Linked DNA regions of Caenorhabditis elegans. The main gene of each other region encodes a partner of the protein of the gene in region 3 in a complex. Each region holds a gene or a part of one and is shown on either strand. Other genes may lie near its edges.

The links.
Region 1: lin-53 (region 3) and lin-52 share a complex: the UniProt entries of both Caenorhabditis elegans proteins name them as parts of the DRM complex.
Region 2: lin-53 (region 3) and dpl-1 share a complex: the UniProt entries of both Caenorhabditis elegans proteins name them as parts of the DRM complex.
Region 4: lin-53 (region 3) and lin-35 share a complex: the UniProt entries of both Caenorhabditis elegans proteins name them as parts of the DRM complex.

What each region holds. Positions count from the first base shown.
Region 1 is NC_003281.10:9,823,563-9,826,355, forward strand, and holds lin-52 (Protein lin-52), read right to left. Parts: upstream 1,189-2,793; 5' UTR 1,182-1,188; coding exon 1,076-1,181; intron 1,023-1,075; coding exon 849-1,022; intron 802-848; coding exon 596-801; 3' UTR 521-595; downstream 1-520. Other genes in the region: arl-5 (ADP-ribosylation factor-like protein 5), read left to right, coding at 1-98, 147-412; ZK632.9 (uncharacterized protein), read right to left, coding at 1,563-1,563, 1,619-1,752, 1,802-1,855. UniProt on the Caenorhabditis elegans protein: Synthetic multivulva class B (synMuvB) protein. SynMuvB proteins are required to repress the induction of vulval development by Ras signaling and probably act by forming the multiprotein DRM complex that represses transcription.
Region 2 is NC_003280.10:9,168,143-9,173,068, reverse strand, and holds dpl-1 (Transcription factor dpl-1), read right to left. Parts: upstream 3,160-4,926; 5' UTR 3,113-3,159; coding exon 3,104-3,112; intron 3,058-3,103; coding exon 2,722-3,057; intron 2,674-2,721; coding exon 2,408-2,673; intron 2,365-2,407; coding exon 2,296-2,364; intron 2,247-2,295; coding exon 2,149-2,246; intron 2,106-2,148; coding exon 1,992-2,105; intron 1,945-1,991; coding exon 1,750-1,944; intron 1,706-1,749; coding exon 1,521-1,705; intron 1,475-1,520; coding exon 1,313-1,474; intron 1,265-1,312; coding exon 1,006-1,264; intron 962-1,005; coding exon 858-961; 3' UTR 504-857; downstream 1-503. Other genes in the region: T23G7.2 (Calcineurin-like phosphoesterase domain-containing protein), read left to right, coding at 144-218, 270-335, 387-488, 3,677-3,769, 3,820-3,924, 3,975-4,063, 4,116-4,400, 4,447-4,566 and 1 more. UniProt on the Caenorhabditis elegans protein: Synthetic multivulva class B (synMuvB) protein. SynMuvB proteins are required to repress the induction of vulval development by Ras signaling and probably act by forming the multiprotein DRM complex that represses transcription.
Region 3 is NC_003279.8:9,617,649-9,621,758, forward strand, and holds lin-53 (putative histone-binding protein lin-53), read right to left. Parts: upstream 2,113-4,110; 5' UTR 2,110-2,112; coding exon 1,954-2,109; intron 1,900-1,953; coding exon 1,316-1,899; intron 1,269-1,315; coding exon 755-1,268; 3' UTR 563-754; downstream 1-562. Other genes in the region: putative histone-binding protein rba-1, read right to left, coding at 1-262, 310-453; nra-2 (Nicalin), read left to right, coding at 2,585-2,662, 2,708-2,859, 2,907-3,033, 3,092-3,635, 3,678-3,810, 3,851-4,110. UniProt on the Caenorhabditis elegans protein: Core histone-binding subunit that may target chromatin assembly factors, chromatin remodeling factors and histone deacetylases to their histone substrates in a manner that is regulated by nucleosomal DNA.
Region 4 is NC_003279.8:5,805,945-5,810,770, reverse strand, and holds the start of lin-35 (Retinoblastoma-like protein homolog lin-35), read right to left. Parts: upstream 3,063-4,826; 5' UTR 3,042-3,062; coding exon 2,984-3,041; intron 2,732-2,983; coding exon 2,636-2,731; intron 2,351-2,635; exon of another isoform or gene 2,274-2,350; coding exon of another isoform or gene 2,133-2,273; intron 1,825-2,132; coding exon of another isoform or gene 1,593-1,824; intron 1,549-1,592; coding exon of another isoform or gene 1,374-1,548; intron 1,329-1,373; coding exon of another isoform or gene 1,235-1,328; intron 1,132-1,234; coding exon of another isoform or gene 952-1,131; intron 905-951; coding exon of another isoform or gene 776-904; exon of another isoform or gene 769-775; intron 1-768. Other genes in the region: C32F10.4 (uncharacterized protein), read left to right, coding at 776-904, 952-1,131, 1,235-1,328, 1,374-1,548, 1,593-1,824, 2,133-2,273; vps-51 (Vacuolar protein sorting-associated protein 51 homolog), read left to right, coding at 3,530-3,588, 3,632-3,806, 3,858-4,019, 4,079-4,510, 4,559-4,826. UniProt on the Caenorhabditis elegans protein: Key regulator of cell division which acts as a transcriptional repressor and negatively regulates cell cycle progression in its active unphosphorylated form, but allows cell cycle progression when phosphorylated.

The DNA.
Region 1 (2,793 bases), on a different chromosome or scaffold from region 3:
TCGAAATTTAGATTTTGTGATCTGGGATATTGGCGGGCAGGAGAGTCTACGAAAGTCTTGGAGTACTTATTATGTTCAAACAGATGTTGTTATAGTTGGTATGAATAACTTTTAGTAAATGATATTAAAATTAAAATTATTTTCAGTTATTGACAGTTCCGACACCACTAGGATTCCAATTATGAAAGAACAACTGCACAATATGCTTCAACATGAAGATCTTGCTCGTGCTCATATTCTGGTTTTGGCCAACAAACAGGATCTGCCCGGAGCAATGAATCCAGCAGAAGTATCCACACAACTCGGTCTCCAGACATTACGAGGTGCTCGGAAATGGCAGATAAATGGATGTTGTGCTGTGAAAGGAGAAGGATTGCCGGAAGCTCTCGAATGGATTGCCAACAATTTGTAGAAACGTTTATATTTATAAATTTCAAAAATTGCCTTAAACTTTGCCAGCCTCGTTTTTTAAACTCTCACTGTGAGATTATGTGATTTGCCAACTTTCTAATTGTGCTCTGTTAGTAATCAAGTTTATTCATGTGAATGTTAATGAATGATGAGATCATTATTTTTTGATAGACCACTATTCAATTCACTGGCTTCCTGTCGTTTCTTCCGCTACATTTTTCGGTGGTGTTGGCTGCAAATATCTCGGAGAAGCCGAGCCAGTGGGTTTCAGCACGTTGAGCAACTTTCCACGTCGGCACTGGCGAGCTTCTTCGATTCCAAGAGTGTACACCGAGTTTTGAATGTTTCGGATGAGCTTGGCGATATCGTCGGCTGGGCAGTGGCTCATTGCTGAAAGTTAAAAATTGAAATGAATATGGAACAATATGAATACGAACTATTAACAGTCACAGCATCTTCCTTGAGAAACGAAATATTCTTGTATGGCGATTCGTAACCTTTTGATACTGATTCGCTTTGAAATGCTTCTTCAAAATCGAGACATTTCATTGGAACTGGCTCACTTTCTTCTGGCATTGTTTCGGTGCATTCGAGCATCTTTTTCTGTTGTTCTGAAAATATTTAAAATTCGAAGAATCTTTCTTTTCTACAATATAATACCAACCAAGCATTTTCGCCTGTTCTGCGTTTGATTTCTTTTCGATCATTTGTTGGACGAACATTTCGTCATCTCCAAATTCGTATCCAATAAATCCTAGCGGACGCGACATTTTTTTCCTGAAATTACCGCTATATGTCAGAATTTAAATGTTTAGAATTGAGTAAGTATAGAGCTTGTGACGAATTAAACGTTAGGCCGCAATGAAGTAATTGTATTGATTTCTTCTTCTAAAAAATAATTCTCACAAAACAAATATTTATTTGATGTGAACAAAAACGGGATGTGAAGAAAATTACTCGGGAATTTACAATAAAATACAAAAAAAAATCGATTGCTAGACAGCCTAGCCGGTGGGTACTTTACAAATTTTAAATTTACACAATACGGTTAAAAATAATGAAGAAACGAGAAACAAGGTAAAAAACATGAATCAGTGGGCAGTCGGTGGTGGAATAGAGAAATAGTGTCGGGCAGTCACATGAAGAATGATTCTGAAAAATCAAAAATAGGAACATGGTCCGCAAACACGGTAGCATATTAACGCACCACTTCTCTTTTCTCTTTGCCTCTCCGTTGCTGGCGGTTTGAACAACCTTGCGAGTGTCCCCTCCTGGCTGAGATGCGTGCTTGTGCTCCACTCTGTCAGACTTGGTGCGCTTTCCGCTTCCAGTGGTGAGATCCTAAAATTGAAATTATTCAGTTTAAATACAATATATGCATTGCACTGACCGGTCCTCCGGTTTGCTCGAATGCGGCAGCCATTTCTTCAGCAGTCGACGACATCTCGTTGGTAATTTTCTGCAACAAAAAATTATTATAAAGCTTAGAGACGTGTAAGCAACACAAAAATGAGAGAATGAACCGACACAAGAATGACCAAAACAAGTGTTATCAAAGTGAAATGGACGATGATTGGCAGTTGCATGATTAGAAAGAAGTAGGCAGAAAAGGGAGGAGAGTGCCAAGAAAACAAAACTGTGAAAGAACCGATTGAATAGCATTTGAAACGATTGGAGTGTGTTTATTTGAAGGACGATAGTGACAAATCTAAATTTTGGCGCGCGTAGTGTTGACGAAGATCAAATCTATTTACAAGTGTAAATGTTTAAAATCGATAATTTGAAATTTTCGATTAGGAATAAGGCTGAAAAGTATTTAAACAAAGCTTCAATTGAGAAATACCAGAAAAATTCGTTAAAAATTTTCAACGAGTTTAAAGGAGGGCGCATTTGTGTGGAATTTGTGTGGCGTAGAGATTTCTTTATTGATTTTTCTCGTTTTTTTTTTTTAATATTCTGACTTATATTGCGTTTATCAGCCATAATAAATGTTAAAAAGGTCGAAAATGAGAAAAATCAATGGAGAATGAAAAACAACTCTAAATGAGAGTGCGTTTTTGTAGAAAAGCTCTACAAAAGTGAGAAATAAAGTAACGTTTTCAGGCTTTTTTTCAAGAATAGAAATCTGCCTGAATATTTTTAGCGAATCAACAGCAGACGGACAGTTTCATTCAAATACTCGTATTTATACATTTGCGTTGGCGCCAGAGACACGTGATGGATAGACGAGCGGAGACCATCGAAAAAAGTAAAAATGAAAAGAGACGCAGAGCAGCACATTTTGAGGGCTGACTTGTTTCTGCTAGATATATTGGTGCGGTGTCATCGAAGGCACAGAACAAAAAGAAAAAAGAAGCAAGAAAGAAAAAAAAGAAACGAACA
Region 2 (4,926 bases), on a different chromosome or scaffold from region 3:
CTCCTTCTCCCGATAGAAATCGGATGTAAGGAGATGAGTTTGGGCGATAAACTGAGAGAGAACATTGACAATTCTATGCTAAACAGGAAAAGCGATCAGAAAAAAGATCTCGAGTGAGTATGTCTTCGCAGTTTCAATTTCAGATGAGTTTCGAGCGATTTCTCGTTTTTGGCTCGGTTATCTCCTGGATTCTGCTCACGTATTGCTCAAGATTTTGGGTGAGTTGATTTACATAAGCCCAGTTTTTTCTATAAGATATCATATTCCAGATTGAATCAGTGGAAGGATATTTAGTTGGTAACCGCCGTCGAGTCATTGCCGTGTTCCGCATTGAAGTGAGTTGCTTCTTCTAATTAAAAAATCTAATTAATTTAATCCAATTAAAGTGCATTTTAACTCTGTTAAATGTGTTTGCATACGGCCAGCTGATGAGATGGTTCGACGATGACATTGTCAAGGAGAAATCGTTGGATCGCCGAAAAATGCAGGTAAAACTAAAAATTATAATCTATCATTCTTTCATAAAAAATGATGGTAAAATCGGGAGCATTGAGTTACATATAATGCTGTCAAAGTCGGGGCATATAAGAAGCATATTTCAAAATGTCAAATTGAACACAAAATAATAATGTAAAAGGTAGATTATGAAATCTGTCGTCAATTCTAATCTGGCAAATGTCGGAATAGAATCGACGAAGAAGACTATACTATTTTAAAGATTAAAGAAGAGGGGATTTTAAAGGAGTCTAGAAATAAAATTGAAACTCGTATAGAAACTATTTTAAAAGCAGATGAGAATCGTTTGAGAACCTTTAAAAACTGGGAAAAGGGGGATAACAACTAGTTACATTAAACATTTACTGGAAATAATCGTATTCCTCCGGTTGAGGGTGTTGAATGAGAGCAGCGGCCTGCGCAGAAGTCATCGGCTGTTCCGTTTTGCGTTCAAATGTGCACATATCTGAAATTAAATTATTTAAATTATTTAAGGCAAATTTAAATTACCTTGCTCCATCATTTTCTTTTGTATAACTTGTTGAGCTGGAGATTGCTTTGGATTGTTGACAACAATTTTACGAATCACTTTCCGAACAATTGTGCCCGGCGGGTGTGGACCACCTGGAGCAACAATTCGCTGAGTTACGATTCGTTGTCCAGGTTGTAACTGATGTCCAGAAATGCTTCCAGCAGGATAGACAACTCTCTGTTGCACTTGATGTGGCTGACCCATATGACTCATTTGTGGTTGCTGTGGACGAACTCTCTGAAAAATAAGAAAAATCAGTTTGTGAAATCTTTAAAACGAACTTACATATCTCTGACCAACTGGCTGATGCATCGGTTGATGTCCTTGTGGCACGTAGTATTTTACAGGTCCTGAATTCACAGAAGTAGCTCCAGTTGAGAGCCTGCGATCTGGAGGTACAGTAGAGTACGGCCGATTGACAGTTCGAACGACGGGAGTCATATCATGCTGAAAATGTTTTAGTTGTACTGAAAAATCTTCATTTTGAACAAACCTTCATTGGTCCTTGTGTCTTCTGTACGTAATATCGTTTGGTAACGGGTGGTACTTGAAGAGGCGTGTTAACTTGAGCTCGAATCTTTTGTGGACTATAAGTATTATACATTGGCCCTCGGCTGGCTGATCCCTGATTAACATTCTTATCCATATCATAATCGCGTTCCATTATACCGGCAGCAGCTAGAAAAAACAATTTTTTTAATGTTTTTAAAAAACTTTTTTACCACTTCTGTCCTCACTTCCATCGTTTATCAAATGCTCCTGAAGCTGTCTGTTGAATCGCGATGAATATGACATTTGCGCCAAAGAGCTTGTCGGCTCAACGTATTGGGCTTGTGAGAGGTTCATAGACATTTGATCAGCAATCAACTGTTGTTGTTTTCTCTTTTCCTCTTTTTCTGCTTCAACCTTTTTACGGTCTGAAAATTGTGGTTTCCATGATTGATTTTTAAAAAGAAATACTTACTGGCAATGATTTCGTCGACATAGTGCTGGTGTAAGGTTGGCAAAAAGCTTTTCGCAGTTTTGACTTCTTCCGCTGTGGGATTTGTAGTCTCCAAACTGCATGCAAGGTTCAACTCTGAAAAATGTGGATCTTATCGGTTTTTGGCATTTAAATTTACTTTTTAAAATTTCGAAATCATCGTGAATTTCAAACTTCTTGTCGAACGAGAACAGAAATTCGGATTTGTCTGATGATACACTGCATTCCACATTTGCTCTTAAAAATAGATATTTGAGACTATTATAATTTTGGAATTTCAACTTACTCTTTATCAGTATTAATTATTAAAAACGGAAGATGAAGTACAGTGTCGTTTTCTGGGCGACCATTTTTGCTGAAAATTTAACTTTTCTAAAATATTTAACACTCAAACGTACTGCTCATTTTTTCTATTCCGTTCGACCAAATTTTTGTAAGAAACAATTTGCAATACCATTTCTTCGAGAGCCTGCTTTTTGGAACTTATGCTGGCTTCCCGTCGCGATTTCTCTTCTTCCAATCTCGAAATTTCTTGTGAAGCTGAAGCAGGAAGTCCAATCCATCTGATATCTTTCTTGCTTTTTGTGATGATATTCATTGCCAAAAGAACGTTCAACGCATCGTATACTCTCCTCCGAATATTTTTCATATCGTATTCTTGTTTCTAGAAAAAAAAAGTTTTTTTTCAAAAGAAGAAAAACAAACTTCTTACCACAACATCAATCTGCTTGATAAGATTATTTTGAAAGTAATCTGCTACCAGTTCATCAGCCACTTCATTGTAATTCGTCAATCCTTTTTCTTTCACCTTTTCACAAACTTTCGTGGAAAAATGTCTGAGTCCGGTTGGTTTGTCAGATTGTTGACCTCCTGCTCCACTAGATCCTCCAACTCCCGAAGGTTCATCCCAGCCCACAGGTTCATTGTGACTCTCATCTTGGTATGAACGAGGAAGACCTGTAGGCATTTGAACAATTCGTCTTCCCATACTCAGGGATACTTGTGGTCGACTTTGTGCCGGTTGGCCGATACGGGGATCGTAGTTTGTCTGCAAATGTTAGTTTAATATAATATCGATTTCTTATTTTACAAACCGGGTTCATTTCTACAGGACCTGCCTGGACGAATCAAGATTTTCGATTGCTTAGATCTGTAAATGATGACTTTGATTACGAGAAAAGCTACGAAAAGTGTTAATTATAAGAATAATGAATGATATTTTGTTGCCATCGTAAAAAACTGATTCTTTTCTGTTCTAAATCTAAATTTTATCGGTTTTTAAGAACGCTGCAATACAAACGTTAACCAGAACAATTTTTGATCAATACGTGAGAGAAATCAATAATATTCGGAAGATGGAGGAAAACAGAAAAAACCCAAATTTGAAGACGCGCCGTGCGTTGCGAGACCCATCAATGACGATAAACAACGCGAGAGGTGTCAAGGCGGAGTGTTGTTGCTGAACAAAATTTTCTTTTTTTTTCGTTCGACACTGAAATTTCAACAAATTGCAATATTCTTGTTGGAAAAAGTTAGCAAAACAAGAATTTGCTTTTAAATAAAAATTTATTTTGTTTTCCTGCTACGATTTCAAAGACCATAACTATTTTTCTCTTCAAATCGATTAAATCTTCTTCTCACCAAAAACTGACCTATTCTCATTTCAGACAATCCGGAAACGATGCTCGGATGGCCTTATTATTTTCCTAGTTCTCGGACAAGCGATTTATTTTATGTATTATGCCCCAGCATTTCTCCAGGTTTGTTTTTAGAAATTGTGTTGCTGTTAAAAGAGTCTCTTGCATTTCAGTGGCTTCTCTTCGATCTCACCTCAATCTGCGCGGGAATATGGACTAACATGATTGCATTCGTATGTGGATTTGGGATTGTTAATTTCTATGCTGGAAAAATGAAGGTAATATTAATTTCAATAATATTTAAATTATTTTAAAAAAATTTTCTCAGATGTTCCATTACACCGCTTCGATTTTGGAAATAATAGGAAAGGTTCCTTATTTTAACGATCTCATGTGGAAAAGAAGATCTCAAATAAAGTAACAAAAAACATCTCATTTCGGAACTTATCATTAAAAATGTTATTTTCAGATTCACAATGATAATCACCTTGCTTCTGTCAGTCAGTATGTTTATATCACGCGATTGGATTGTTGTCAAAGAAAAGACCATCAAAATAAAAAACTTCACTGCTGATGGAAATCGATTAAAATTGGCAGTGATCTCTGATTTGCACGCTGGTGCAAGTGTTTATTCGGAACAAATCAATCAAGTTGTCGAAAAAGTGCTTGAAAATCCAGTTGATGCTATTCTGATTGTTGGAGATATGGTAGATGCTCCTGTTGCGGAAATCGAGGATAGAGTTCGACCAATTCTGTAGGCGAATTAGTTTGATTCACAAAATTTCAATTTTTGTTTTCAGTCAACTCCCTGCTCACGCACCTACTTATTTCGTAACTGGCAATCATGAATATTATTATGGAGACGTTCAGGAATGGATAAGATTCTACAAAAATGGCCGTATTAATGTTCTTGAAAACGAGTAAGTTTTACAAAGTTTTTGAGTTTTTCTTGGAAGTAACAGTGATATTTTTCAGAAGTACAATGCTGAAAGGAGTCTGTTTGGCTGGAGTAAACGATATTTCAAGTCCGAAATCTGGAATCTTGAACACTAAAATGGATCTACCAAAAGCCATCCATCGATGTCCATCAAATACTTCTCAAATCGTCATGGCACACAATCCGGCATCAATTCGAGAATTCATCGTAGATCATCCGAAAGAATTATCAGAAATTGATATTGTCTTATCTGGACACACTCATGCAGGACAATTCTACGTAGTTATTCCAGTAGTTTATTGGCTTCTACCATACTTTTATGGACTCTATGAGATTCCATTTG
Region 3 (4,110 bases):
CAATAATGAAAGGATTATGTGGCATGTAACGTGCCCTATGAACTTCTCCTGGATGGTTGATTTTAATCTCAGTATCCCATTTTGCAGCGCTGCCCTCTCCATAACCTCCGAACTCTTCACGTTCCGAATCCCATTTAGCGTCGTCGAATTCTGGTGTGTCTGTCGTTATTGTGAACTTTGAGATCATGAGATGATTCTGAACTCCTCCACAAGTATGTGTTCCATGAATCATTCGATGCATCGATGAATCCGAGTTCTCTGTCTTAAAAAAATAATGAAGAAGGCGAAATCATATTTACCGATTCTTACTTTTGTGACATCAGGCATCCATTGCACTGATAAAGAAGGCCACTCGACCTCTTTTGTGACGACTGTATCGTAGAGATATGGAACATTTTTCTTCCAAATTCTATGTTCTTTACTCGTTTCTTCACACGATTCAGCTTCACTCATTGTGCTCTGAAATTGCCTGAAATAACAAAAGATACAACAAAAAACCAAAAATATCACAATCTGAGCTATCACAACAATCACGTTAACATAATATTTCAAAACAGTTATCTGACAATGGTCATCGAATTTATTTCAGGTTCAACAAAATATGATCATATCTCAAGGTAACATTTTAACTTTAAAAACTTAGTTGGTGAAGAATATGCGTTTGAATAAATGGTAAGATGAACAATTTGTTGAGATGCAAAATTAAAGAAGGATAGAAGTTAAATACAAATAATTTAAGCGCGTTTCACGTATTTTACTGTTGTCTCTCTACCACATCGGCTGGAGTTTCTTCGTCAACTTCGTTGTATATGTTATCAGCCATTTGCCACACTTGGAGAATATTGTCTTCTGACACACTGCACACAACCCAAGGCTCGTTCGGGTTCCACGAGAAATCGCTGATCTTGGCGGTGTGCCCACCGTGAATAAACAACAGCTCTGGTGGACCATCTTCCGCGTCTTCGGCAGATTGGTCTTCTCCAATCTTAGATAGGTCCCACACATGAAGACGTTTATCAGTACCGCTGGATGCAAGAATAGTCTCGTTGTGTGGACTCCACTGAACTTGGAAGATTTCATCACGATGTGATTCAAATGAGTGAAGTTTCATTCGTAGATTACGTAGATCCCAAAGAGCGACAGTTTTATCAGCTGATCCGGTGGCCAGAATGAATTCGGAATATGGATTGAATGCGAGACAGTTAACTTCGGCAGAATGAGCATCGATACAGTGTCCAGGAGTGCTTGTGCGCACATCCCAAATGAGCCTATAATTTTTAATTAGTTAATAAATAGAAAAAAAACAAAAGCTTACAATTTCTTATCGTCACCAACCGATCCGAAGACACCATCATGCAAAACGTGCCAAGCAACATCTTCAACGACTGACTCGTGACCTTTGAAAACATCCTTCGCTTGCAATTCCCCGGCAACATTCTGATTTGCGTTGATATCCCAATGACAAACTGTCTGATCATCTGACGCTGATAGAATCAAACCTTCTTTGTTTGGATTCCATGATAATCCATAGCCTTCCTTCGTGTGTCCTTTCAGTCTGATAAGCGGATTGAACGTGTTATCACGAGGAACAGCAGAGTGCTTTAAATAGTCGAAAATGTAAACATCAGCATGTGGAGACTTTGTAGCAATGATATTCGACTTTTGAGGCATGTAACGAGCTCTGTTAACCTCCCCTTCGTGGTTAATGCGAATATCGGGTTCCACTTTTCCGTTAACAGCTCCGAAACCACCGTATTCACTGCGCTCGGTATCGTAGCGAGATGCATCAAATTGGGCATCATCCGTTGGCATACAGATCTTAGAAATAAGCAAGTGATTCTGCTCATCTGAAGTATGAGTTCCAAGAATGAGCCGATGAATAGTATGGTCGCTGTTATCCTAAATTATTTGAATTCACTTCATGAAAGTTGTGAATTATATGAGAACACATACCTTCGCAACGTCTGGGAGCCATTGAACACTGAGTGAAGGCCACTCAAGCGCATGTGTCATTACGAGATCGTACAAGAACGGGGTGTTCTTTTTCCAAATTTTGTATTCATCATTTGCGACGCGATCTTCGGAGGTTCCATCTTCAAGAGTGGCCATTTCCTGAAATTTTCAATTTTTGCAAAGAATAATTATCGTTCAAACAGTGTAGTTAGATAAAATAATACAACAAAGAAGGGGTGAATAATAAAATATTAATTCAATTGAATTTAAATATATTAAAACAGAGAATTTTAATGCGGGAAAGTGACCAAAACTGTAGAAGACCGATAAAACCCACTTTCAAAGTGTGTGCGCGTCGCGGTTTTCGCGGGGAGGGGTCTCGCAACGATTTGCCTTCACCGCTGTTGCAAGGTACGGTAGAGCATGTTTGGCTCATTTGAATTCCGCTCAGAAAACTCATGCAGTTTTCTCCCTACTCGGGTATTATATATCATCAATTCTGGTTTAATTCTATCGATTTCTGTAGAATCATGATAGTTTGTGTTATTAAATAATTCCTACTCCGAAAGATCTTTCATCCTAATTTGCACAGGATTCTCGTGATTTTGAGCTTAAGATATGTTTTTTTCAGATGCAGGATGAAATCATCGATTTTTTCCGAAGTCCGGCTCTTCTTTTCTACATGACTTTAATGTTAACCATTTGTGTAGTAAGTTGTTGGTAATGATTTAGAAGATGAACTCTCCATATTTAGGTGAACGGGTCCCAGCAAGTTGGAGAAGTCGTAGAAACCGAGTTTCATGCGTACCGTCTTCATCAATACGAAATCAGTGGTAACATTTATGGATGCAAAAATTATCGCGTATCATATGAAGCTGTTTCCTTGGGTGCAAGAACTCTTCGCAGGTTTTTTTGGATATTTCATTTGTAAATAGTAATATTTTAATATCTAGAACTATGGTTACAACATGGCGAGATCTTCTTACAACAGATGTCGATGACATGTGGGCACTTTCTACCGGTGCCGTGCTTATTTTCATTCCCGACAATCTTGATGAACTTAACGATATTGATCGGAAGGTTAGCTTGAACATTTAATTTCATATTGCCATAAAAGTTATTTATGCTCATTATTCAGGCATTCATCGATCTTGAAGCAAAGTTGTTGAGCGCAAAGACCGACTTGGCTGTTTATGTGGCTCCTTTCAATGATGACGCCGTTTCTATTCTTCACGATGTCAATACTCGCTCGGAAAAAGCTCCCACAGCCCTGCAACATTTGCTTCAATCACTTTCCGGAAACACAATCAGTATCACTTCTTCCGATCAAAGTCCAGAACTTCCACCTTCATACAAACCACTGAATATTGTTGGTCGCTTGAGTAGTGGAGATCGTGCTGCACCTACGATTGCATTTGTGGCACACTATGACACACAATCGGCCGTTCCAGGAGTCTCGCCTGGCGCTGATTCCAATGGGTCTGGTATAGTTGCACTTCTCGAATTGCTTGCTGTTCTGTCAAAATTCTATGATTCTCCAAGCACACGTCCTCCATACAATATTTTGTTCATTTGGACAGCAGCTGGAAAGCTCAATTATCAAGGAACTCGTCACTGGATCGATGAGTACCAGAAAGGCTTTGACAGCGCTGATTATGCCAAATCTGGACTTTCTAGAAAAGGTAATGCAGTAAAAGGAGAGTGTCGTTTTACCGGTTTTGAAGGGTTTTCAGATGATCGTGTTGACTTGGCAATATGTATTGAGGCAATTGGTCGCAAAACGGGAGGATTTTTCATGCATGCTGGAAAGACACCATCAGAAAATTCAGTAGCAGCTCAACTTCTCAGAAGACTTAAGTACTGTTTTAAAAGTTTATTGATTTTAATCGTTCGTAAGATATTTCAGCAGCATTTCTCCAAAGAAGAATATAGAGTTGGTAACGAAAAAAATCTCTTTGACGACAGTAAGCGCTTGGGAACACGAGAAATTTAACATCAAGAGAATGCCAGCTATCACCCTGTCTACTCTTCCATCTCCATCTGATCCAGCTCGTAATTCAATTCTTGATCTCCCATCGGCTCTCGACGAAGATGAGCTTATTGATAATATTCGACTGATTGGCGAAGCTGTTCTTGGCTATATTCTTGACCTTCCAG
Region 4 (4,826 bases), 3.8 Mb from region 3:
TGATTTACAATATTAAAGGAAATTTATCCAGATGGCAATGAATTGACCCAAGGATGTCAGTTTTTAAATTAATGAAAAAAATTTCAATTTTTTCAATTTTAAAGTAATTTCCAATAATTTTTAAAGAACGAATTGAATCCATTATATTTTTCCAATTAAAACAAATTCGATAAGTCACCAATTTTTTTTCGGTATTTCTATAGAAATACAATTGTATAAATATCATAAAAACCAAAAAAAAATTTCGAAATTTTTAACTTTAAATCGCGAGAAAAATAAAATCCAATTTTTTTTTGTTTTTGGTACGAAATTTGAACAAGAAATTTTTTGTTTTTTTTTGTCAAAAATATTTTTTGGCATCCTTGATTCTCAACTTATCCATATTTAATTGTGACAAATCAAGTAACGACGAAACTAAGCTGCCAAAATTGTTCTAGTTTCTTCCAACGTTCTTATCATTCTTTATTTCTCCACATACTCTCAGCTGATTCTAGTGCTCTTCTCTATTTTCAACGTCCCTCTCTCTATCTCCCAATGCCCTCATTTCTACAGTTTCATGCAATATTTACTCAACCGACACATGAAGAATTGAAAGGGGGAGAAAAAGAGAATCATATTGTCGTGACATCGACCATATCAGTCGTATGTCACCTCCCCGACTCTGCTTCTCCTTTTCTTTTCTCTCGTAGAGGTCTCTTGTTGGCACACTCAGACACACACAAATGCATTTATAAACCATATAAGCCAAGAAAATTGTATTGATTCCAGAAGAACCATGACAACCGAGTCTTCTCAAACGACGGATCCGTATCAGCACCCGCAACAACGGGCTGAACCACATCAGCCAACACAGCGGATAGCTGCTGAACCGGAGCCAAGGGTATTTTGTGGACTTCCAATTGGTGTAAGTTCAGAAATTTTGAATCTCAGCAAGGATTGAACATTTTTCAGGGAGCTGTTGGAATTCTCGGATCCATTCTCATGATATGTCAAATATTCGGACTTTTGTATCCATCTCCATTTGTGCTCTACGTTTTCGAGATTTCTATTGGAAGCGCCATGATGTTTGTTCTATCAACTGGTGCAAAGCGTAGAAAAATTGCCTATATCACTGCTTACATGTTATATCTAGTACGTTTTAAATATAACTCACAAGATTCGATGTTCCTAGTCAATTATGGAAGCATCAATATTCTCGTTAATATACACTTTGAGAAATAATTATCAATTTCAGTCAATGTACACATTTTGGGTGTTTTTCTTGATCCTGGGAGCAGTTATTGCATGTATTTATTTATCGGATAACAATGATAACATTTGCAATCCAGGTTAGTTTCAATACAATTTTCCGGAATAAAGAAACTGATTTGAAGATAACCAAAAGGATGTAACCACTGCGAAGGGATGTGTTCCAAAAATGACAACTGGAGAATTAGAAATGGTTATAATCTCATGTTTCTTCCTAACTGTTAGTATTATTGTTGCACTCGTCCAAATGCGATATATGATGATTCTCTACAACTTCCTCAGAAGAAATGCATACAGATTGTGAGTCCATTATTTCAATTATGAATATTCATTCAATGGTTCAGACCTCAACATCAGGCGTCAAATTACAATGTTCAATACATTGTACCAACACCAATGAGTCCCAGTGGTATGCCACCACCACCAAGATATACCGCCTACGCCCCACCAATGTCAAGTCAAACTGCTCCTCCGATTCCTACAAAACAACAACCTGTTGATAGCGAGAGTTCGACGACGTCGGCATCAACGAGGAGTGGTTCTTTCGTATCGACACCGATTTTGACAGTTGCCAATGTGAGTTTTGAAAATTTTTTGAAGCTTTATGAAATCCGTTTCAACGACTATTCATTAATCAATAATATAAAACTAAGCTATTCTTTCTATATTATAAGCTGCATTAGATAAATACGTCTTAATGCGATTATAATTAACTTCAAATAACCCGCTAAATTTTGTTACGGAGCGCTTGTAGTCGAAAAAGTAATACTAATATCAGAAAAATGGTTATTATTGGGAAACCTCCGATTTCCAGCAAATTCGAGCCAGAATGAGCTCTAAAATTCTTTCCCTATGACATCACTAAAACTCTGTAACAATTTCAGAGTGAACCAACAGGAGCTGACAATTCGGCGTTTACAAATGATGAAGATCCAACCCGACCACGTGCAACTTCTCGGCCGCCTGCATATAGTGACGTGGTTGAACCAGGACATATAACAGTCCGAAGTGACGTTCTTCAATAGATTTCACTCTGTCTTCTATGTATATTTTGACATTTGCTCGTGGTTGTGTGCAATAATAAAAATGTTGCTTGATTGGTAGCTATTGTTGTTAGTGACCTCTTAACTAGTCAGGTGACTGAGCGCTTGATAACTTCATAATTTCCTATATAAGTAGGAGATGATAGCGAGTTGTGATAAAGGTGATAATGAACTGGGGAATATCTATCTTCATAGAGAAAATTATTGGAAAAACGAAGGATGCTCTTAATATGTAAAACAAAGCAGTCATTTAGATTATCACATGAGGCTGCAAACCCTTGTTTTTGTTTAATATTTTTGAAAAGGAGAAAATAATCAGATTTAATATTTATAAAACCCCATACCTTGCTTTATATCTAAGTCGATTCGTTTTGCTGGTGGCTCTTCACATATTGTATCCGTTGTCTCCGTGCCGGCTAACACGGCATCGAATGGGCTTTCTGAAAATAAATCAATTAATATCTAAATTTATTTGCGGTAATTTGAGGCTGAGTTCTAAAAAATTTCTCTCCCTGATGGAAAGGCAAGTAAAATCTTGAACGCTGTTTAAAAAATTTCGAAAAAATCGAACCCTGCGCAAATTGCATTAATCAGTTTTTCTATTCACTGCGGCGGAGAAACTAGCTTTGATAACGCCTCACTTTCCAGACAAGTATAATTATACGCTTTGAATAAAATCATTTAAAGCTTACGCTCGTGAAATGGGTCAGTTGTTGATGTTCCAGGCTCATCGGCTGCTCGTTTCGGCATATTGAAGAAGTTTTTACCAGTCTGAAGAATATTTTTGTGTTTTTTATTCGATTAAACCCAAGAAAGTTCAGATAAAATGTAATCGAAATCGTTTAAAATTAGAGAAAGCAAAATAATTTTCAAGAACGCGCTCATTTTTTTCTAGTCGCGCGCGCAATGATGTTCCACAATTCGCAATAGAGCGCATTTGTGCACGTCCTGGAGACACCATCGATTTTGAGAAACTGAATAGGAAGAAGAGGATACTTCAGAACTTTCTAAAACTGAAGCATTAAATGTGATTAAAAATTGTGAATGTGAGAGAAATCGAGTTTGCAATTCAGAAAATGTATGTTCCAGTTGAACACATCTTACCTTCTACTTATTTTTTCGGCAACCAGCATTTCCCCCAAATTTCGTTCCCTTTGTATTGATGGTGTCTCAAATCTGTTTTTTTTCATTCTCGAGTTTTCCTGAATTTTCTTTAATTTTTCAGTATTGAATGTAAAATGTCTAGTGTTTTGGACGTCACAAAGCCGGATTTTGATGTCGAAGCATTTGTCGTCAAGTTAGTTTTCAGAGATATGCACTGATAAATATTATTAATTCAGATTACTCCGTGAAAAGTCGCTTGATGGATTAGTAAAAGAAGAGGAGGAGATGGTTTCAGCTGTGAGAAGGCTTGATTCAGATGTACATCAAATAGTCTACGAAAATTACAATAAATTTCTGACTGCGACAAATACGGTTCGAAAAATACAAGATGAATTCACGCAACTCGATTCTGTTAGTTTTCGAATAATAATAAAATCAGACAATTTTAATGTTAATTTTCAGGAAATGAAATCTCTCAGCCGAAGTATGTCGACAATATCGACTCTAATTGGGAATCTTGACGGAGTTTTGGGCGAAAAACGTGACGATATTCTACAATTGGGAAGCTCGTATAAAGTTGTGAATAGTTTGAAGCATATTTTCGATCTTCCTCATGTTCTGCGGGTAACATTTTTAATTTTAAAACTTTTTTTTCATATTGCATCAAACTAAACAACTTCCAGAGTGAATTCGATGAGCGAAACTATGGAGAAGTTCTTCGAATGTTCAAATTAGCAGAAGAGTCACTATCGCAGTATAAAGACGTTCCAACAGTTCAATTAGTTCTTCAAAAAAGTAAGAAAATTTATGATATGACGGAAAATCAATTAATGGATCAACTGCGAAATCCGGCTTCTGGTGCAGAATTAGTATCAGAAGCTGTAGATTTATTATTAACAATTGGAAGAGATGAAGATGAAGTTCAGAAAGTGTTGCTCACGTGTTCAGAACAATCTTTAAGAGTAGATTTGAAAGAATTATCAGCAAATCATTCGGATGTTTTGGATCTCGTTGATAAAGCTTCTGAGAGTTTTATTCCAAATCTCACTCTGATTGCAACAACTCATGATCGATTATTTGAGGATAAACGAGAAGATCTTATTACGGTTTTGAAGGTTTGTTAATTTAAAAACGATTTGGATTAAATTAAAGTTTTTTTACAGACGGAAATGAATTCTCTGCATGCTTTGGTTTCAAAAGTTTTTCTATCATCAAGTGATGCAAAAGACTGTTCAATTGTCGTCCGGGCTCTTGATAGATATTTTCGAAAAATCTCAACCTGCCGCTATGTGATTCCTGGACTTGACTTTCTTCCATTAACTATCGAACTAATCAATGCAGTATCAAAACACGAGATTGATTTATCATTGACAAGAATAAAAGAAGAACTCAAAAATGGTTTGAATGAAGTTCGAAAAGCATTAATTAATG